3 linked regions of the Caenorhabditis elegans genome follow. The protein of the gene in region 3 purifies or fractionates together with the protein of the main gene of each other region. This does not show direct contact. Each region holds a gene or a part of one and is shown on either strand. Other genes may lie near its edges.

Region 1 (5,625 bases), on a different chromosome or scaffold from region 3:
TAGCTTCTCCCACAAAATTACACTATTCATATCACTTTTTGACGTCGCCTCTTCGTTTTTTCTCCTCACCCTGCTTGTCGAATTCCTCCGGTTTTCTGACGTGTACCCCGCCTCCTCTTTCGTTTTTTTTCGCTCCTGGACCCTTCCGATACTTTGCACCAAAAATAAGAAAGAGAGAAAGAGAGATGATGATGGACATCATATGTGGAGAACAGGAAGAGATTGAAATACTTGAAGAACTACGAAAACAAAGAAAAAGTCTATTGAAATGCAAAACAGGGATTTTTTCTTCAGATCTATTTATTGTTTCCCGATATCTAAAATTGAACACCGTAGGGCATGTGATTTTTCCAGATTCGCCGATCCTTCGAGCATGACGACCCTCAGACAAAGCTAAGCGACGATCTCATTTAAAAAAATATACGTTTTTTCCAATTTTCTGATAATTTTAAAATTCACAGTTTGTTTTCAGGCTTTTTTCAAATTTTTCTAAAAAGGGCAGTCTTTCTTTTTTTTTTCTTTTTGTTGGATGCACAGAGCCCTCCAAAACCTCAGGTTTTGCGGTTTCTTGAAGCAAATCATGTTGATAACTGTATCCCTGTACTGTGATTACTGAAGAAAAAAAAACAAATATAATAATATATCATGGAGTTGGTTATTTGAAAAGTTAAAATAAAGTATTGAACTTTTACAAATGTCTGACTGAAAATAGTTTGAAAGTATTTAGAAGAATGAAGCTGAAGGTGTTCTAGACCGCTCTCCGACAATCGTATCGTTGTTCAAAGAAGATCAGCGATTTTCGATCGAAGAGGAGAATAAGACTGAAGGTGACGGAGCTAACTACGAGAATGAGGTGAATATGTGCTGTTCCACTCGGACAAAGGTTACCGGATGTCTAATTTTTTGGTCGCAAAGATGAATCAAATGTGAAAACTCAAAAAATACAAGTAACCATTCATTCAAGGAAAAAAATTTTGGGAACTCGATAGTAGATCACAAGAGCGGGCTGGTAATGGCAGAACATTACAGGAAGTATTGACTACGGTTGGCAGATTGCTGAAAATAAATTAGTTACGACTACAAACATTCGAACTTTATACCTTTTTCACCAGCTTGAAATTGCCTTCCTTGGAGTTCTTCTTCTCGTGTCCCTTTGTTTCCTTGCTCTCTTTCGTATCGCAACTGTCCTTGTTACCATCTTTACTGTTCTTTCTCACAACGGGAATCGACAGAAGTGGTTCATTTGGAAGAGAGATCATGCTGATATTGTCATTCTGGGCAGCAGTTTCCTCTTTGATCTCAACTTTTTGCGTCGCCTGAGTTTTTTGGTCTTCCATATCAGGTCCATCTTCCGAAGAAGATCTTGTTTCGAGTGGAAGTGGATGATCTTTGCATTCTTTTGGATGTTCAGTCTTCGGAGATTTGTGCTCTTTGCATTCTTTGTCCTTTTTGATAGGTTTCAGAATCTTTTCGCAAATCTTTTCCATGCATTCTTGTGCTTTTTCTGCTGGAGAATGATGTGGAGTAGCTTCTTTTGGAACAACTGGAACAGGCTTGGCATCAGCTGGAATGATGTTGAGTGCTGGTGTGGATGGTGTTGTTGGTACGTGATCCACTTTTCCACGTGTCTGGATGAACTGCTGGATGTTCCAAGTGAGAAGCTCAACTCTCTGAAATATAATACATAAACCTTGCTTTCCACTGAAGTCACACTCACATCATCTAAATCCGAGTCATCCCAGTAGCCATTATCCTTTCCGTAGTTGATCAGAATCTGCACAAGTGCCATGTATTGAATGTCAACTTGAATACTTCCGGCTCGGCTGTCTTAAAAAACGTGATTAATAAAAATCATCATTTCAATATTAACTTACTTCTCAAGGCTCTACAAGTTCCCAGCAAATCCAGTTCTTTCCCATCCGTCAGTATTTGAAGACATGCTTCAATCGCAACAAAAGTGCCTGTTCGGCCAATTCCGGCGGAGCAGTGAACAGTGACTGGGCCGGAAGCTGTGCGCACAATGTAGAGCATTCGGAGCAAAGCCATCGTAGAGTTAGGGACACAACGGTCAGGCCTGAAAGTAATTCTATTATTATAAAGATTTTCAGTTTGAGTTTTCTGATTTTGGTTTTTCAATGACACTAAACCGAATGTTGTTCTGTAAAGATCAGTGGCTTACCATGACTTTGTATGCAAATGCTTCAAAATATGTTCCTTCCCATTGTCCACATTTCTAACTGATAATGTTCTTTTGATGATATTCGCATCCTTATCATCCTCCAATGAACACAGAATGGTCCATGCTCCGAAAGTCATTGCTTCTCCAGCTTTTTCCGGATAGTATTGGGCACATTTAGCCTTTCCGTCTTCCATCACCTCACATAGCATCACAATGTAGGCAGTCTTCGTGTGAACAACCATTCTCCAGAAATCAATGACAGTTGCTGCAGTGGCGCCTTGTGTCAAAATGAACGGAGCGTTCAAACCATTTACATAGTTTGCATGGATATAATCTCCATCACCACCATCACTGAGAATCACGCGTGTTATGTCATTGCAAACAACATCTGAAATATTAATTTTAATTCGATTCAAGTTCCTATATTTCATACCTTTATAGCGATTCTTTGTTGGGTTCGCGTCAAAGATTTTCCGTTCCATTGGCTGACCAGGATATGGTTTCACTTTTGTCATGAATTCGACTGAGTACTCTGGAGGATTCTTCTTGACAGCATCACTTGCAAACTTGAAGAAAACCTTCTTCTGTACATCCGACAGTGGATCGCCTTTTAACTGAAAATCATAAATTCGGATTGAGAAGTGCTTTCTCTTTTTATTGTACTTTCCACCCGGACGAGGTCTCTCAGTCTACCTGCACCCTTCCCGATGTATACGGGAATGTATAATAATATAATTAACGTCCAAAAAGTCCAAAAGTATTTACCGGGATTATGGCATGCGTTTTTTCGTTATTGAAGTGGATCTTCTTGTCAGGATTCCAGACCGGATGAGAACATGCTCGTTTCCGTTCGGTTCCTCTTTTTGGTTTTCTCCTTTTCTGGGTGCTTCCAACCTCTTCCTTTTTCTCATTGTGAAGAACTGAAAGAATTCAGATTTTTCTAAATAATACTGTATGATTAAACTCACGAAATCCCAATCTTTTCAGTACTCCTCCTTTCTTTTTATCCTTTTCATCAACTTTTTCGTCAGATGGCTTTTTCGCAAGGCGTCGAGATGCCTGTTGATCATCCTGCGAATTTCCACGTGTTCCCTTTCTTCGTTGCATTTTATTTCAGTTCACTGATCCGTTGATTGATGGATTACACTATCTCGGAACGATTCGTTTTTTTCGAGAAGCGTCGGTTTTATTTTGATTTCTTCGTTCGAAGCTGACGAAGACAAATGTAGAAATAATTCAACTTTCGACTAATCTCTGATATTGACAACTTTCAAATAAGGAGGGGGGGGGGGACGTGGAAGTTCAAATTAAAAAAATATATACATATATGTTGTTGTAATTGTATTTTACGTTTTTACGAAAATAACATTTTCTAAATTTCACATTTCTGAAATGCGTGAACTTTTATTTCTGCCAACGAACTTAAACAATCTTATTTACAAATCTACTACGACTTCGAACAATCAAATTTATTCCTGACTTTTCAAAAGTGAGAGATGGTAAAACCGGCAAATACTTCGTCTTCACTTATCACTAAAAGAGTTTTGACTCTCGGTAATAATGTCACAATTGATATATACGATCATCATTATTATCCAATGGTAAGTTCATTTTTAAAAACTTCTAATCTTTTGAAATTTTTCAGTGGTTTTGGATTGTAATTTCTGTTGGATTTGTCTTCTGTACTCTGAGCTGTGCTGTTTGGTTTATGTGTGCTATGTGGAGATTGAAAAGTAATATTAGAATATTCTAATATTCTGTGGAACTTTTCCTGTCAGGCTTTTGCTCAGATAAGATTTTCTTTGCTCTCAGAATCCTAGCTCTGGTTTAGGTGGTGCTTTGATATTTTTTGCAAAAGATCTCTAATGGGGTTATTTAAGTAATGTAGCAAAATGTATTTAAATACATTTGTGACCTCACAAATGTATTTAAATACACGTTTTTATATACTTGAATACAGTTGTGACGTAATTTTTCTACACTTTTTAATTTTCCGACACTACTTGAATAACCCCATAAGAAACAATCAAAATGTGTATGTTGGAATTTTAGAACTGGATGTTTTTCAGAGGGTAAAGAATGTAACCATCCATCGTTTGAAGCGCGTACCGTTGTGACAAAAGATGGAGAAGAGAAACCGGATCCCAAAATGGCTCAAAAATCAGAAAAGACTTGTAAAAAATTAGGTGCATTGGGTGAAGCTGAATCGTTGGCCAAGAGCTTCAAAAGTATCAGATCGAAAAAGTCGATGAAGTCTACAAAATCCAAGAAATCTGAAAAAGATGTAGGACATGATGATCATAAGAAGGAAGATGTTCATGGTGATCAAAAGGATGATAATAAAGATCGAAACGATGGAGGACGAGATTCTCATGTTGTTCAGATGGAACATAATTCTGAAGAGGAACACGAGCCGAGTGGATTTAAAAAGGTTTTTTTTAATCGTTGAATTTTGAAGGTACCTCAGATAAATCAAACCACGCAGGCAACGCGTCTAGACCACGCAGAAGCTGGCAGTCTTGAGCGTGGTTGTAGGCGTTGCCTGCGTGGTTTGGAGCGGCACCTGAGCCGCTTATCGTAGAAAAAGCTTTGATGAGCACAAAGAAAATAAGAAAATATTGCTGCCAACAATTGGAAACTTTTAATGAAATATTTTTACAGCTGGGCAAGTCTTTCTTCAACTTCAAAAAGTAGCAAACTCTCTTCACCTTCACCAAAGAATAGCAAATGTTGAATGCTCCAAACTTGTAGACTTATAGAACTGTAGAGCATCTTTATTTATGAATGAAACTGTTCACAAATGCCATTCTACTTATTTTAAACACCTTCTGAGCCAATTACCAGGAAAATTTCAAATTTTAAACTGCAATTTATATCCTCAACTTACTACTTTTTTTCTTGATTTTCACACGATATTTGAATTTTTCAATAAAATCATACAGCCGATTAAATAAATGAATGCCGTGAGTTCTTCCTGTTCAAAATAACAATCGAAATATGAATCTAAAATTCTGAAAAATCGTACTGCATTCAGTTTAATTTTCCATTATCAGATGATGAAACATATTTATTTCGAACAAAATTATTCATAGCCAACGATAAACTTTAGGAATCCGAAGTTAGTCTTCAAGATATCCCAGATCACATTGAAGAAATGGCTAAACTCTTCCCAAATTCCAGAGAAAACCTTGTTCACAAGCATCGGACGATAGGCACATAACTAATCTCGGAATTTTCGTCTGATAGCCAAACTCCTGTCATTTGGTTACATCGGATACTGTACTTATCAGACAAATCATGGCGGCGAACTGTTGAGAAATTCTGGAATTGAAACTTGTTTATAATATTTGAGATTCACAACAGCAAACATAATTAAAATTAGAAAACAACGAGTATTTCTCGAAATTTAAACAAATACTTTTAGAAGATCGGATTCTAACTCCATT
Region 2 (6,394 bases), on a different chromosome or scaffold from region 3:
ACTTAATTCCAGTGAATGATTATTGAAGTGAGATTGACTGATTAGTTGGAGACCGCCCATCGTTTGAAGTGCCTGAAAAGAGACAATTTATTTGCTGAATACCGTATGTATTCCAACCTTATCAACATTTTTGACAATTCCTGGATATTTGATTAGGACCAGCTGCTGCGGCTCCTCGCGTTTTTGTTGTGTGAAATTGAGAAAATCGTTCATTTTTCCTGAAATAAGTTGTTATTCTTTAAGGTGGTCTAAATATTTGATAAAGATTGCAAATATTCGAAATAAATTTAAACGGTTGAATTAATTTCGAATTGCCGCATAAGTTCCGAGTTGCGTATTGTGCGTCAAAACACGCTTCTTAATTTAATTATACGAGTAAAAGCGTGTTTCGACGCACAATACGTATACGCCTGTCGAGTGAATTCAATAGTTTTAAAAACTCAAATTTAAATATATAAAAATGGTTTACAAAACCAATCAGATGAAATCCAATTAAAAAAGAACAATAAAATTTTTAAATGTCCAGCATTTCCTTTTTTCTATAAAAAATACCAGTAAAAACATAAAGTTTTTGCAAAATAAATAGAAATAAATATCAAAATTATTTCAATCATCTTCTTGTTCAAAATCTCCAAACGGCCATCCTCTTTGCTCTCCAGTCTGTAGTTCTGTATACGGCCAAGCAATGAATGAATGCGTCTTGACACCATGCACATAGTTGAACTCCTGGAAGCATGTCCTGCAGAAGTGTGTGTAGGTGTTGGGAAGAAGCTCGTGGCGTTCGACGACGAATCTGGAAATGTAAAATTTTAAATTAATTTACTTTGAGGAAAAACAATAATTTTTGCGAATTAAACTTACTCCACATGCCCTTTTTTACAAATATCACATTTCTTTTCATTTCCCTTCTCGTATAAGGTGAATGGATATTTATCGATTCCCCACGGGTCCGATTCATGAAGAAGTCGCAAATCATGAAAAACGAGTAGATGTTCACAATTCCCAGAATGCTGGAATATGTACGGCTGCCCTAGACGCAGCTTCAGGTCAATAATTCTGACTCCTTCCATACTACAAGCCTCCACTGGATCATAAATCTCGCGGTGAAGCATAAAGTTGCGGATTGGGCTGAAAAATGTTTTTAAACATTTTTCTAAAGAAAATTACTAATTACTGTGAAATGTCAATTGCATTGGGTGGCATATCCACATAAAAGGTATCATGAACAAATATAAATGATGATGGAAATCGAACTGCGGTTGCATTATCCAAATTCGGTGGATCCAGCTCCAAACCATTCTCCAATGGAACAATTGTATCACTTTGACATACCTGAAAGTTTAAAAAAAATTAAATATTTAATGTGTGTTTTAAATTCAAAAAATCATACAAATTTCTGCCGTAAATCCGAAAGAAGGGTGTCTCCACGAACAAGAAACTTGGTCATTGGCTTCAAAAGTCGCGAGCTCCGAAGTTCAGAAGATAAAAGTTCTCGATTGTATGGCATCAGTGCATCAACGATAAGGACAATGTCATCTTCACATTTCTCTAATATTGAACATTGAGGATGGAAAAGCTGGAAAAATTATTTTATAAAGATTTTTATTTTTATTAATTAATTTACAGAAGTATTTGCTCCGGCGTTCAACATGTATTTGTCATATTTCAGTGACGTGACATATGCGGACTTCCGCTGCCTTGAAGTTTTCATAGTCTTTTCTCGACTTATCACATGTCTGAAAAATTATAGTTTTTGAATAAAAGGTTTAAATAATATTTACTTGTGGGAAACTAGCGGTGATCGTTCGAGGAACTTGCGATCCCCCTTCATATCTTCAAATCGTCGAGTTTGAACGTCTGATGACCCCTCCAGAAACATATCGAGGCTGAAAATCAATAAAATTAGTTGTTTTTCGATTTTTTGAAATTTACTTTACTTTGAAACTTCTTCAATAGCTTCCAATGATTCTTCTTCTGTTACTCCTTGAATATAAGACAGACTGTTCTTCCACATTTCCATTTCATGTTCTTTTTCGGTTTTTGAATCGAAATCGTCCATTGTTCTATCGATAATAACTGAAAATTCGACAATATTCGATTGTTTTAAGATAATAAACTAACCTTCTCCCAACTCTCGAACTTCCAGCATCTCTTCCTTCACTGTGGCTAAATTGAGCAGTGGAGAAATATACCATTGTTCATCAGAATTGAACTTTCTGTCCATTTATTTAAAAATTGAATTCAAACAGTTATACGGAGGAGAAAGTTGGATAAAAGAATTCGAAAAATTGCTTTTTCAAAAAAAAAAACAATTTTCTGGAGGGGTACGGTGTACAACGGTGTTTGCACAGTTTATTGTACACCGACGCGCAATAATGCACATTTGTGTGCGCGGGAAATTTTGTTGGGCGGCAAATTTTGAATTTTAGGCCTCGAACATTCCCTCTTTTTGTCATTCTCATCTTCATTCGCTACTTTTTTTTGCAATTTTTTGCCTAAAACGCTTTCAAGCTACTTCTGCATCGTTTCGCGCTTTAAATTTGCAAATGGTCTGTCCTAAAACGTTCTGCCCCTCATTTTAGCTTCCTTTTTCTGTTCCATTTCCTGTGAAAGGTGACTCATTCATAAACTATTCCCTTCTCAGCGGTTTAGGAGACTGGGGAAATTGTAATTTTGTAGTTTTATTCGTGATTGATGCATAAAATTGCATAAAATAGGCCGCCATAATCTTTCTTGAAGGTCAGCCACCGTGTTTATCTGATATATAATTATTATGTCCTTGCTGCGATCAGCTCAACCGGGCGCAATAGGCGGATACCATTCATCATTTTCGACATGTACAAGTACTTCTCGTGTAACATATTTGCACAGCTTGTCATGGTTTCTGGTTATTCGGGTCATTTTAGTATCTGTTCCATTATAATTTCCCCAAAAAACTGTTTGCTGTTTGTTTCTGTTCTTATCATTTCCCTAGATTGCGTGTTATCAGCTCAAATTCTTCTGTTGTTTCTACTTTTCGGCGCCGAATGAATCACAGAAATAGAATTTCTCTTTGCAACTGATTAATATTTTGAGTTCCACTTTTTCAGTTGGCTAGTTCCTTAACTTCGTAAGCCAGGCGCGTCGTCTTTTCAAATTGCTAGATGGATGGGCACATTTTTTGAAATGCCTCGCCTGTGGCGGGTTGGTAAGGGACACCGCTGTCGCCCGTTGGTCAAGGCCGTCACAAAGCATTCGCGTCCCTGTCCATCCGAAACATAGAGGGCGCGGAGAGAAAAACGACGGGAGAAGGGAGGGAAGCACGGGCGGCGCCAGTCTCTATGTTTCTCGCTTGGTATAATGTGTCTCATCGACAACGGAAAGTGGGGGTAAGAGTAGAGCTCTTTTTCGTCCCCAGCGCCGACACACGACCCTTAACTCGACTTTTTTCGTCAGTTATTTCTTGGAATTTTTTTTTGAAGCTTCCCGTTGATTTGGATTGTATTTTAAAATCGTTATCCAACCAGCAACTGATCTAGATAGTACCCATTAACATTGTCTCCTGGCGCGTGTACTACGGTAATTGACCTTTCTCTGACTGGCTGCATGTGTGACGAAGTATTGGCTGCATATGTATCGTATTGTATAGGCGACCCCAAGCCGATTGTCACTGCCACGTCATCTCCGTTTCTCTTTTCTCCGCAATTCTCAATTCACCACCACCGCAGCCGTCAACAGGGGTACGATTTCCATCGCATTGAACTAGTTTTTGTCCCTCGTTTTTCTTCACGGTTCGTCTTCATCTCTTTTATTCTGAAGGCTTTTCAAAGCTGCAGGCCCCCAGCACATTTCATTCGGTTCCCATAGGATTACTGCGCGCCAAGCGGCATCTCCCTCTCTACCCCAAACCAATAGCACCAAATTGCACCCGATGAAAAGCCATCTGTGTCGTGTGCTCTATCTCCTTCTGCCAAACCTAGTGGTGACACGCAAAACAAATGGATTAAGCAAAAAGAGAGGGAATTGATGGACATTTTGTGTATGTTTCGCAATAGATTTGCCTCTGCTCTCTTCCTCTTCACCCATTCTACCCATATCTGCATATTTCGCAATAGTCTATTCGATTTCACCACCCTTTGCAGTCCAACAACGACTGCTGCCCCAGTGGCCACTGCGGTTTTTAATGCGAGCGGGCGCCGCGCGCCCCGTGTTCTCGCGATTATCGATCCGAATGCACACAGCGTCGGACACAACTGCGCCCGACCCGCCTCTTCTTCGTCTCCATTCCATACATCCCAAGAGCTGCATGTCTGCTCCTACAACGTCCTTTTGTTTCCTTTTTGGGGTAGCGATTATGAAAAGTGGGCTCATTTTAGAGCAAATAGAAAGGTACTTGCGCTGAAATTTTTATCGAAAGTAGTTAATTTCGGAGTGCAATAAACTAGAATCAACCTATATAGAATAGAAAAGAATCACCAATTAAACATCTCTTATATTTTTCAAGGTAACCTTATTCAACCTTATTCCTAATTCGTCTTTTAATTTCTTATTTTCGCCGTGAATCATTTAATTTCAGAGCACAATAAACTAGAATCAAATCACCAATTAAACATCTCTCAAATTTCAATGTATTAAAAAAACTTACTCCTTTAATTTTAAATTTTTGCCGTGAATCATTGCTTTTCAATATCGACCATGACGTGTTCTCTTTCTTTTGTTATTTTCCTTCATCTTCTCTATCTAAATATAGTTTTTCAATTCATTACGACCTTTTCAGCAAAAATGAGAGAGATCGTCCACGTGCAAGCCGGACAATGCGGAAACCAAATCGGATCCAAATTCTGGGAGGTCATCTCCGACGAGCACGGAATCCAGCCAGACGGAACCTTCAAGGGAGAGACGGATCTCCAGCTTGAGCGCATTGACGTCTACTACAACGAAGCCAACAGTGAGTTTTTAAAATTTTCTGGAGATTTCGAAATCGTTTAGTTGGAATGATTAATTAATTAAATTTTTTCAGACGGAAAGTATGTGCCACGCGCCGTGTTGGTCGATCTCGAACCAGGAACCATGGATTCTGTCCGCTCTGGACCATTCGGCCAGCTGTTCCGTCCTGACAACTTTGTGTTCGGACAAAGCGGAGCCGGAAACAACTGGGCCAAGGGTCACTACACAGAAGGAGCTGAGCTTGTCGACAATGTGCTTGACGTGATCCGCAAGGAAGCCGAAGGATGCGATTGTCTTCAAGGATTCCAACTCACTCACTCTCTCGGAGGAGGAACCGGATCTGGAATGGGAACACTTCTCATCTCCAAAATCCGCGAAGAGTACCCAGACAGAATCATGAGCTCATTCTCGGTTGTACCATCGCCAAAGGTGTCCGACACAGTTGTAGAACCATACAATGCCACCCTCTCCGTCCACCAGCTTGTTGAGAACACCGATGAGACCTACTGCATTGACAACGAGGCCCTCTACGACATCTGCTACCGTACCCTCAAACTCACCAACCCAACCTACGGTGATTTGAACCATCTTGGTAAGTTATTATTTCTTGTTCAAGTTTAAGTTATGCACAAGTTACCCAAATTGAAACCTAATAATTACAATTTTCAGTATCCCTCACCATGTCCGGAGTTACCACCTGTCTCCGATTCCCAGGACAGCTCAATGCCGATCTCCGCAAGCTTGCCGTCAACATGGTTCCATTCCCACGTCTTCACTTCTTCATGCCAGGATTCGCACCACTTTCCGCCAAGGGAACCCAGGCTTACCGTGCCCTTACCGTCGCCGAGCTCACCCAACAAATGTTCGATGCCAAGAACATGATGGCTGCCTGTGACCCAAGACACGGACGTTACCTGACCGTGGCCGCTATGTTCCGTGGACGCATGTCGATGAGAGAGGTTGACGAGCAAATGCTCAACGTTCAGAACAAGAACTCGTCCTACTTCGTCGAATGGATCCCGAACAACGTCAAGACCGCCGTTTGTGACATCCCACCAAGAGGACTCAAGATGGCTGCCACCTTCGTTGGAAACTCGACCGCTATCCAAGAGCTTTTCAAGCGTATCTCAGAGCAGTTCACTGGTAAGAAATTTGAAACTATCATCCAGTATCAGTTTTAAAAACGTTATTTTTTCAGCTATGTTCCGCCGCAAGGCTTTCCTCCATTGGTACACTGGAGAAGGAATGGACGAGATGGAGTTCACCGAAGCCGAGAGCAACATGAACGATCTCATCTCAGAATACCAACAATACCAAGAAGCAACTGCCGAAGACGACGTCGACGGATACGCTGAGGGAGAAGCTGGAGAGACTTACGAATCGGAGCAATAAATGCAAGATCCTTTCAAGCATTCCCTTCTTCTCTATCACTCTTCTTTCTTTTTGTCAAAAAATTCTCTCGCTAATT
Region 3 (10,250 bases):
TAAAAATGAATAAAATATCAAAAATGGATTTGTTGAGTGCACACTTTTAAACATCATAGGAATGATCAATTAAATGTTAGTGATAGAATTGAAGATTCTATCCATTCAAATTCTAAATGGTCTGGGAGAATTCGATATATGAAATTTGCAGTCATTGTTCATATCTTGCAAACAAATTATAAGAAGAATGAAACAACTAATAAATCAAATTGTTAAAAATAAAAATGCAATTTTGTACATAGTTTATTTTTAATTTGTATGGGATATTGTATTTTTTAAACTGATATACAGATATGAGATATGCATCATATTTTCAACTTGATGAATCATGAACAAATATGTATCTATTCTTAATTTCATTAACTTGTATTGGTGTGTAATGTATTTAGTTGTATGCGTAAAAAAAGTATAGATAATCTCTTTGAAATAAGATTAAAAGCTACAAATCCTTAATTATTCAACATATTTCTTTTTGAGCTCATATATGGTTCTTGCTCTTAGGTGGCATACTAAGCTTTCTATTTTGAGCTGTTCCTATAATAGTATAAATTGTGATGTTTAATTTCTTATCCGCCACCTACACTTTCGGAGCGCTTGGGAAAACCGAACTGAGGGAGTAGATTAAAGGTTCTGAGAAGAAAAAACGTTTCCGCACTTGATATTCGAAAGTTCCCACGTATCTTAGAGTCATAAAGTTTTGTGTCGCACCTACGCAAAAAACAGAACACAAGTTTTGTTTTTTTTTCTCTTTTTGAACTAACGAGGGATGCACCTTTTCGAAATATTGATATCGTTTTGAATCTAAAGAATTTCTAAAAAACGGGATCATGGAAATTTAGAAAAAAAAAAGGGTTCTTGGCTAAACAAAATGGACTTACAACTTTAAAAGCAAACGTTTTTCGTTGTTAATTCGAGTATCAATTTTTTTACATTCAAATCAAAATAAATATAATAATAAATACTAGTTTGGAAACTAAGTTCAGAACAGTCAACAATCCAAATAGTTTCGCAAATTGGTCAGAAAGAAATACCAGATGAACTTAACCCATGCGATTACTGTAGCGCACCTCAAAATGAGAAAAATGAAACATCTCTAACTTGTGAACTACTGAGTGGAAAGTCCCGGATAGGTTGGTGATAGATAATTCAATTTTCAAAAAATTAATCTTTATTTCTAGAAGTCATATCTCTTTTTATGGATTAAAAACTTGTTATTCAGTTTTGCTTGTGTCAATTTCAATGCTTTAAAAAAATAATGTTATATCGTAGCTAATAAAGTATATTACATCATTCGGCAAACTGATAGAGTAAAAAGGTTATGTTTTAACTGGATTGATTTGACACACCATCCATAAAATTTTAACTGTGGAGTAGTGCTAATAGAAAATTTTGAAACCACTTTAACATTGCCAAAATAATGAAGTTTGATGGAAAAATTGTTTGAAAATTACATTGTTTACAGTCGAAAAGTTCACTTAGTCCTCACATACATATTACAATTTTAGAAAAACTGTGTCTATAATTTTCAAGTTTTGAGTCTATTTTAATAAATTGTATCTAGACATTGTAGGATTCAAACAAGTAATTTTTATAGACAGGTTGAAAACTCAAATTTTGTATAAATTCTTTCAATTTGAAGTTTTTTTTTGAAATCTTGTTTGTCATGTAATTTCAAAAGTGTATTTGCCTTTAAAAACAACTTTTTGGGGAATAACATATTTGAATACAAGAATCTATGGGATGTCTACATTATTTCTTTCTTTTATTTAACTTGAATTCTTTAAACTTTAACGAAACAACAAAACATACATGATCATTATCCTGATTTTGAGCAGCACTTTGCTGCAAAGACGCTGTTCCCGGCTCCACGATTATCTGCTCAATCATCTGATCGTAGTTATCTCTCTGTTCGGCCAAAAATGTTTGCCACTTGTGACGCTCCAATGGGAGATAGTGCAGAAGCAAACGCCATGCCAACGGTCGCAGAGATTCGGGAACTCCGTAGCTACACCCGGCTCTCAATTCGTTAATATCGATTTTCTTATTTGCAATGAGAAGTACCTCCTCGATTTTTGCAAGACGTTCCATATATCGAGACGTCATTCTGAAAGGTAGAGGTAGAAGGTGAAAAAGGTTTTAAAAAAAAAAGAAAGGAGGAGAAAAGACAACATAGGTAGAAACAAACGGAAAATAACAAAGCTAGTAGAAAAACCAGTGCAGGTAAACATAGAACCCAATTTTTCGTTTGAAACTAATATTTTGAACCCTTCATTTAGATAATTATTGACAAGAAAAATGCAAAAATCCCAGATAATTAGGCACTTATAATTAGAATTTGAATAGAAAAAGGAACATCAAACTATATAAATTAAGACCCCGAGATTAATAAAGTGACTTTCAAAATAAAACATATCATGAAAGATGAATATCATCAATGGTGGTGTAACTGAATGACTATGTTATGAGAATTGGGTGATTTCAACTAGAACTTGGTGAGACAATGACTGGCATATTTTGTATGGAGTTTTGTGGTTGATAAAATTCTGAAAAACTGGTAAAATGATGAGAAAACGAATGGTAATTAATATACAATACATATGTGTTGGAATAGGAATAAGACTGAGATAAGAGAGTTTGAGAGAAATAAAGACAATCGAAAAAGACCGGAATATGATTGATGTAAAGTGAGAGACGCAGCGAAAACGGGTACAACAAAAAGAGGTTGATCGGTGACCGGCGATTTCAGAAATGCATAATGAATATTTAACATAAAAGATTGATAAAAACGAATCAAAAGAAGAAAGGTAAAGTGGGTGAATAAAAAAGGCACGGAAATTGAGAAAAGTGGGAATATAATAAGCGTAGTTGTTGATCAATATCAGTATCACGGCATCAAATATGAAAGTTGCTTGTTGGAAAGTGTCAATTGGCCAGTCCCTGTCACTTCACAATCAACTCGAAGAAGAGTATACTGAAAATTGAACTCAATAAAACTGAAGTGAACCTACATATGAATCTAGCTAAAAGCTGCACATATTACGAAACTGGTTTAAAAATTGCAGCTGTTGAACACATGCCGAGTAAAACCTATCCGTTAAATCTCACGCAGGCAAGCACAAGCAATATTCCTACATGATATCTCAGAGTTGTAAAATCAATTTTTAAACTGGTTGAATAAATTTTATTTTATTAACTGCAACTTGTAAAAGCTTGGAATTATTCAACAGTTTTAGAGCTCTACTTTGGTAATTTTTTTTGTCAAAATTCTGGCAATTCAAAATTAAACATATAAAGTTACAGTTAATACTCTATAGATCCATAGAATGAAAGAAACCGTTAATCCAAAAATCAAAAAAAAAATTTCAAAGTCTCTCTTTCTAATAACGATGCAACGTAACACTAGTGACATTTTTGATAATATCTACACAAATATAACTGCTCCTACTACTTGAACGTTCAAATTGATTTTAAAAAAACTACAATCAACCAATGGCTGTGATCAATTCATTTCTAAATCTCAAATTAAAGTCACTGTAAAAAATAACTCGCATTGAACGTCAGGAAACTTACAGAGACATGAGAATTTTGCAATTAATATATTTTTTCTGATACTGAAGGCAAATTTGACAGTTGTGAAATCAATGCCTACAGTTTAACAAAAATATTTTTTTTTACTAATCATATTTTTTTGAACTCCCTAGTTACCTGATCTTGGAGAGTTCCATTCATTGGAACACTAGGCAGGAGCAACGATAGTTTGGGAACCGAGTTTGCTCCTTTAATCAATGAAGGCAGAAGCACGTAGTCTTGAAGTGTCATAATGTACAGTGTATCTCCCTTTTGGCGAACAATTGAAGCGATTTTGTCAATATCTTGTCGTTTACGTTGAATTTTCTCGTTATCCAGTTGAATATTGTTTCCGCTTTAAATTAATTATTATTTACATGTTATTGAAATAGTTTTGTTGTTTGCTGCTGGAATTGCAAATGCATTTGAATAATTTTCAATTGGTCCGACTTCTTCGTTTGCAATTACGGTCATGTCATCTCAATACAAAGTGAACAAAGTAAAACATGAACTCGAAGTTCGATTACGTCGGTAGTGTGCCCATTCGTGTCATTATGAATTTTAAATTAAAGAAAAAGTCTACTTACGTCTTCAGTAGATCCAACTGCTTCCATGTACGTTCCCGAGATCTGAGCGCCGCTTGCTCTGATTTCTTTTGAACCGCCAATGTCTGTGGTCCATAAACTGAGGCTGGTTTTACTTTCTGTGCGTAGTTGAACTTTCGCATTGCTTCCTTATTTAATAGTCCTCCCGAAAACTTCATTGGAACATTATCAAATGAATGTACTTGTACCCAGCGCTCAATGTCGTTGTTTACTCTGAAAAGAGTAGTCAGTTATAAAAATTGTTCATTTTCAAGTCCCTCACCTTATTGTCTCTGTGGCGTTTAGTTTGTACATATCACAATCATTTTGAGTGGAGTTCGGATAGTTGTGGATTGGTTGTTGAGTAGGCTAAACTTTTATAAGAGATTTTTAAATATTAAGCTCGTACACATACAATTTTTGCAACAGGAGCACTATCTTCATACGTGATGACTCTTCCGTGGCGAGCAACCATAGAAGTTTCGTTGGAAATTGCCATGATTTGATTGTTTATATTCAAATTGTTATCGACATTAAATGGAGAGATGACTGCAAAAAGTCCGAACATCATTAGTACTGAACCAGCAGCAATAATTCTTTTTTTCTTCTGATTTCTTCCAAAGGGTTGTGGAACTTCGACAACTGGCTCTTCGTGCTGAAAATGTATTTTAAAATGTTAAAATTTTTATGAGTTCAGAACTACTTCAAAAAACGCAAGGCGTTGCTTCAAAGCGGCATTCTCAGTTCTTAGAATCTCGTTTTCTTGAAGCAGTTCCTGAAGGTTCATTTTCATATGTTCATCGGCTTCCTTCTTGCGCATGCGAGAGGCTTGGGCGTACATTCGGTTCCGAATTTTTCGATTTTGCTCGGAAGTAAAAACCTGGAAATTGTAAAGTCATGAATTTAAATATGTTTTGAAGATAAGCTCACTTGTGGTTCTGCTTTGATATCTACTGTCGGAGCAATTGGAACGTATCTTGGCTCTTCGGACACTTGTCGAACCAGCGGACCACTTTTTGGTTGCATATGAATTTCTTGAACCGGCTCATTGTAATACATTTGCTTGATTTGGCGTTGCGTAGCTTGTGAAGGAGATGGCATCTGAAAAAAATTCGAATAAACTATTTTACTTGACGTTCAATCGCTCACCAAGGGCTGAACAACTCGGTATGTTTGTTGCTGACTGCCGGGTGATTCCTTGACGCGGTATACTTTCTGGATTGGTCTGCTGACAATACGTTTCACAGGCTGTGACTGTTTGGGGAGAATTGTGATAATTCGTTTTTGTTGCATGGGCAAATGCTTGGCCGGTTCTTCTCTGAGGTATCTTGCGTTCATGAATTCATTGGTGGGCTCGGCAATCACTTCGTCGTCCTGATATGGAGAGCCAAATTGTTGCTCAAAATTCTCGAATGGACTGCGACTCTGCAAAACAAACGACTAAGTATGATATTGATAGATTAGGATTTTGTAGTTGATATTAAATTTTGAACAAGATTTTGTGTAGTATCCGTACCCCGAAATTAAAAGTAAAGTAATTCTGTAGGAAAATTTTGTCTTCGTGCTAAGTTTTCATGGTAGGAGCAAACATCATACACACAACAACTTGCATGTAAGGTTGTTTAAAATAAAACACATTTCCATTAAACAATAGAGTGTAAACGATCCGTTTCGACAAACATTTTTAACGAGTTTTGTGCGAAAAAAAACAACTTACTTGAAAGCCAAAATCCCACATTTCCTGGTCATTTTCTGTGAAGTTTGCACAACTCAACGGTGGAGAGCTATCCGACGAAGAATCTCCTAAACTCCCGCCGTCTCTTGAGCGAAATCCAGCATTCTGATCACTGAAACCAAACGAAGAGGAAGAGGTCGATTCTTGTGATTCGTCGGTCCCGTAAAGTAGGCTCTGAAAATCGATATTTTGTATTAGTGGTCCTTTCAAGACACAGAAAGAAAACTCACGTCCAACTCTAGCTGGTCAAATTGCGGCGGAAAATTTGGGTTATGCAGGAGATCATCAAAGTTTGATTCATGAACCGTATTGTCAAAGTTCATCTGAAATTTAAAAAGTTTTTGAAATACAGTGTTAGAGAAAAAAAAGAGAAGAATAGGTTTCTAAAGACAAATAATCCTAAAACTCAATCACATTTTTAGAAACTGGTAAGATTAAAAAAAAAATCTTAGATATATCTCAATAGCAAGAAACGAAAATCAGGTAGATGAAAGAAGTGACCATGAAAAAAGGAGGGCAAGACGATTAAGGATAGCATCCAATGAAATATCAACGGAGCGCGTTTGCACACGACCCCGGCTGGCACACTGCCAGTACGCCGGTCAAACGACCGGAGAGGCAAGGGGGGGGGGGGCAGAGTCAGAGAAAAAGAGTCCCCGGCACAGTGACAGTGAGAAGGCCACCACAGTAGATGAGGACGAGGTGGCGCTCTCGCAGTGTTTGTTCTGTCGCAGAATTTTTGTTGCGGAGGAAGAGGAGTGGGCAAGCGAAAATGGAAGACGGACAAAAAATGGAAAGTGGGTCACTAAAAGTATAGTAGTAAGGTAATAAACGGGGAAGGGATAGCGGCTATATTACTTTACGATCTTATTTTATAAACCAAATAAAGAAACCACTAATTAAAGCAAAAATTCATAGAAAAAAAAATGATATACTGTATTTTCTCTACTTGTCTTTAGTTTTTATTTCGGTTGTGCATAATTTTATCAGTCATTGACTAATACTGTTTGCCTTCTTTTCTAAAGCTCAACAGACGAACATCCACTGGGTTTGAAAAAAAGACCAAACCAAATTTAAGTTTTAAATTTCAATAATATGCAGAGAAAATTCTACAATATAATAGATTGTCCTGTGACTGTAGTTGTATTAGAGAAAATATTGGGTTTCCTAATAGTTTAGCATTGACTTGTTGACAGGCGAGCAATACTTTGTGGAATATTTGTTTTGTAAACTTTTTTGTTTTTAGGGTAAAGTCAATTTTCGAAGTTAAAATGGCCATTGAAATTCCTAATGGAAAAACATTCATATTTTTAGTTGGCGTCAAATCAGTTTCACAAAAATAATTCTTGCAATTTATATTAATCTTACACCCCTACAATTTGATGGAAAATTAGTACGGTAGTAAGGTAGGCGATATTGCAATGTTTGTATGTATACAATTTAATTTTCAAATACAAAATTCGATAACCGCGCAACTACACTAATAAGAAATCTCTAAATACTTTGAAAAATAACTTTTTAGTGAACCCCAAGTATTTTTTCCGACAATTTTCTTCAAATATTAAACAATGTCTTCTAGAAAACCAAACCAATAAAAAGCAAATCATGAGAAATTTTTTTCCAAGAAAGGAACACTTTCAAATAATATCGACGACGAAAACTTTTATTGTGTATACTCTTGCAAGTGGCTTTGAAAGTTCTGGTATTTCTTCACATCACACTTTGATTTGTTAGTACATAAAAGCTAACATTTCTTGTCAAAACTGTTCCAAAAGTAAAAGTATCAACAAGAATGATCTTATAAACAATACACAAGAAATATGAACCTCTGTTGATTAAATTTACCCCGCAGTGAAAAACAAACACTTTGCATTAGTATACACAAAAAGAACGAGTGGAAAAAAAACGACGTGACGTGTAGCATAGTAGCACCAAATGGAACCGCACTTCATTTGAATAAAATAAAAGTGCAAGTGAACACTTTTTGGCTAGGACTACACTAATCGTCGTCGAGAACGGCCGGGGGATGCTAAGTGTGTTACTATGGCATTGAATTATGTACGAGGACCAATGTGCACTTGTGTGTGCTTTTGGGCAATCCAAGCAGCGATTCATAAAATAAATTGTGTGGGGTGGAAAGTGGGCGATGCTTTGTGAAATAAAAAAAATTAAATTGAAAGCTAGTGATGACCTTTCAAATTCAGAAGCTTCAACCATAAAAAGTGATTAAACATGATGCTATGGAATAATATAACTGGTGAAGCTACTACAATAAAATGTTAAAAAATAAAAAAAAGTACTTGAAGGATATAACGCGAGTTGCTGTGAAAAAAATGTCTTCCCTTTTTTAGGGGAAAAACATTTGTAAAATCTTCATCGTTTTCACTATTAAAAAAATATTTTAAGTGAAAAAATTATTTTGAAAAATGAATGTTGCTCAAAATTTAAACTTAAACTGGAAAACAATTGGTTATACTTTTAAAAAATATTTTCATAAAACCGTCCTATCATTATAGAAAACACGTGAAAGGACAATTCTGATACTACCTGAAACATAAAGTGCTTGTTATCGAATACCCTCTCCTCTGTTAATATTTAAAGAGTAACGTTGTTAATTTTATTGTTATCAGCAAGTGTATTCATCATAACAGGGTATTTATAACATATGAAACAGGGCATACAATTCATATTGTTAGTGCAAACGAGAAAGAAAATAAAGCAGGAAAACGGGGGGACGCAAACAAATTTGAACAACTGTTGAATATAATAGATTAAACTAGTAATATGTGTATCTATCGTAGAAGTCAATTTCCGGCAAAATCGGTCTAAAGCTTTATTGAAAAAATGCACTCATATGTTTAGCATTTTAAAAAATCTAATATCTCTGGTAACGGCTCTCTAATTAGATATGTTATAATTCCAATTCCATGTCAAAAATGAACGTTATTTTAGTTTTCTAGAAGCTTTTGCAGAGTTTTAGTTACATTAGTTTTTGTTTCAAGTATTGGTTTTCAACTTCTAAAACGCATTTTTTAACGGCTGACAAAATACTAGAATATTCGAAAAAGTTTATATCCAACAGTTGCAACCGATAGGTTGGCAAAAAGGCAGTTTTAAACAATCAATTGAATCTAACATTGCCGTGGAATAAAAATTTTTGTTGCTCTTTATATCACTTTTTAATTTAGTTGAAAGCCTTCCATGCTGATTCGAACAAATCGTCATGTTTCAAAAACTCCAAGTTCAAAACTTCATATCACTTTAAAACGGTTTGCGAATTATAGTTTTTTTTTACATGAAAATGTGTTTTTTGGTTAAGACTGTGCATTAGAAACAAACATAGTTTCGATTATCACTTCTTATTTTGGTTTCACTTAGATTCTCTTCAAAATGTTGCATTGGCGAGATTTTTTTTTTTAATAATTTTTATCCGTTTGACAGAAAACATTAAATGCAAAGAGCATGTTCTGATATTTCTATTGCACCAACGCAAATAAAAATGTATGAAAGAATGTCTGTCTTCATTGTTCAGGACCTTTCTGAATTTCGGTAATTAGAACCTTCGCGTTTTTGCATTGCCTTGCTATCAATATGTTCATTAGATATTTTTATGCACTAGCATTAATTTTCAATAACCTTTTAACTTACTACGTCAAATGTCCTTACAAAACGGGACAGGTGAAATCTAGAATAAGTAGATGTATTTGAACAAGGCTTTGAAACGTAACAGGCTGATCAAGTCTTTGCTCCAAAATTGCAATCTGATATTTGACAATCACAAAACATTTGTGGTTCTTACACTCCCTTGGTAGTTTAATCACTCTTGGATATGAGTTCTAGCAACTCAAGTGCTCAGCAAGATGCTGAGCATGAATTAGATTTCACAGTTTCATGTATTGGTGTTGTACCATTTGTTTTAGTCGTCTGGTTGTACTACATGACAAAAAGGACTGACGACAAAGTGAGTTTAGCATTATTCTGCGTTAGTACATTTTTAATAAGGTGCACTTTTAGAGATCATATTATGCGATTCATTTCAATCTGGTGACATTAAGCTCTGTTCACATTGTTGGATCGTTTATAGTTTTGATGATACTTTTGATAATAAGAGTAACCGACGGGTTCACTGGAAAATCTGAATGGATTCGTTTTTTATACAAGCGTAAGCTAAAGTTATAAATTTAAATGTACAGAAATTGTTTACAGTGTTCACAAATTTACTAATTCATGGATCTCTAATTGTTGCAACAATATTTTACTACCTTATCTTCATTTCCTCCATGCAAAGATTCATGCTTCTTACTATTGAAAAACTCGGAAGAAAGCTGATGACGGGGTAATTACTGATGAAACATGTCAAAAAA

The links.
Region 1: the proteins of atf-6 (region 3) and T22C1.9 fractionate together in Caenorhabditis elegans (co-fractionation; one large-scale study listed by BioGRID). This does not show direct contact.
Region 2: the proteins of atf-6 (region 3) and snpc-3.4 fractionate together in Caenorhabditis elegans (co-fractionation; one large-scale study listed by BioGRID). This does not show direct contact.

What each region holds. Positions count from the first base shown.
Region 1 is NC_003279.8:7,955,034-7,960,658, forward strand, and holds T22C1.9 (uncharacterized protein), read left to right. Parts: upstream 1-3,613; 5' UTR 3,614-3,675; coding exon 3,676-3,780; intron 3,781-3,824; coding exon 3,825-3,912; intron 3,913-4,248; coding exon 4,249-4,610; intron 4,611-4,840; coding exon 4,841-4,873; 3' UTR 4,874-5,125; downstream 5,126-5,625. Other genes in the region: T22C1.8 (Protein-tyrosine phosphatase), read right to left, coding at 1,024-1,056, 1,101-1,670, 1,718-1,827, 1,875-2,074, 2,180-2,567, 2,613-2,793, 2,945-3,099, 3,148-3,286; T22C1.12 (C6 domain-containing protein), read right to left, coding at 5,372-5,500.
Region 2 is NC_003281.10:4,015,990-4,022,383, reverse strand, and holds snpc-3.4 (snRNA-activating protein complex subunit 3), read right to left. Parts: upstream 2,348-6,394; 5' UTR 2,225-2,347; coding exon 2,122-2,224; intron 2,077-2,121; coding exon 1,938-2,076; intron 1,887-1,937; coding exon 1,782-1,886; intron 1,737-1,781; coding exon 1,625-1,736; intron 1,577-1,624; coding exon 1,391-1,576; intron 1,333-1,390; coding exon 1,175-1,332; intron 1,129-1,174; coding exon 862-1,128; intron 794-861; coding exon 607-793; 3' UTR 501-606; downstream 1-500. Other genes in the region: tftc-5 (General transcription factor 3C polypeptide 5), read right to left, coding at 1-72, 118-213; tbb-2 (Tubulin beta-2 chain), read left to right, coding at 4,762-4,927, 5,000-5,518, 5,596-6,069, 6,125-6,318.
Region 3 is NC_003284.9:12,476,907-12,487,156, reverse strand, and holds atf-6 (Transcription factor atf-6 homolog), read right to left. Parts: upstream 6,210-10,250; coding exon 6,117-6,209; intron 6,061-6,116; coding exon 5,869-6,060; intron 5,577-5,868; coding exon 5,301-5,576; intron 5,253-5,300; coding exon 5,082-5,252; intron 5,032-5,081; coding exon 4,855-5,031; intron 4,807-4,854; coding exon 4,567-4,806; intron 4,521-4,566; coding exon 4,435-4,520; intron 4,386-4,434; coding exon 4,155-4,385; intron 3,923-4,154; coding exon 3,706-3,922; intron 2,972-3,705; coding exon 2,885-2,971; 3' UTR 2,253-2,884; downstream 1-2,252. Other genes in the region: tbc-13 (TBC1 domain family member 13), read right to left, coding at 1,810-2,103; F45E6.1 (Serpentine Receptor, class Z), read left to right, coding at 9,716-9,847, 9,901-10,048, 10,093-10,222. UniProt on the Caenorhabditis elegans protein: Transcription factor. Plays a role in the unfolded protein response (UPR), perhaps mainly during constitutive endoplasmic reticulum (ER) stress, by activating transcription of genes involved in the UPR.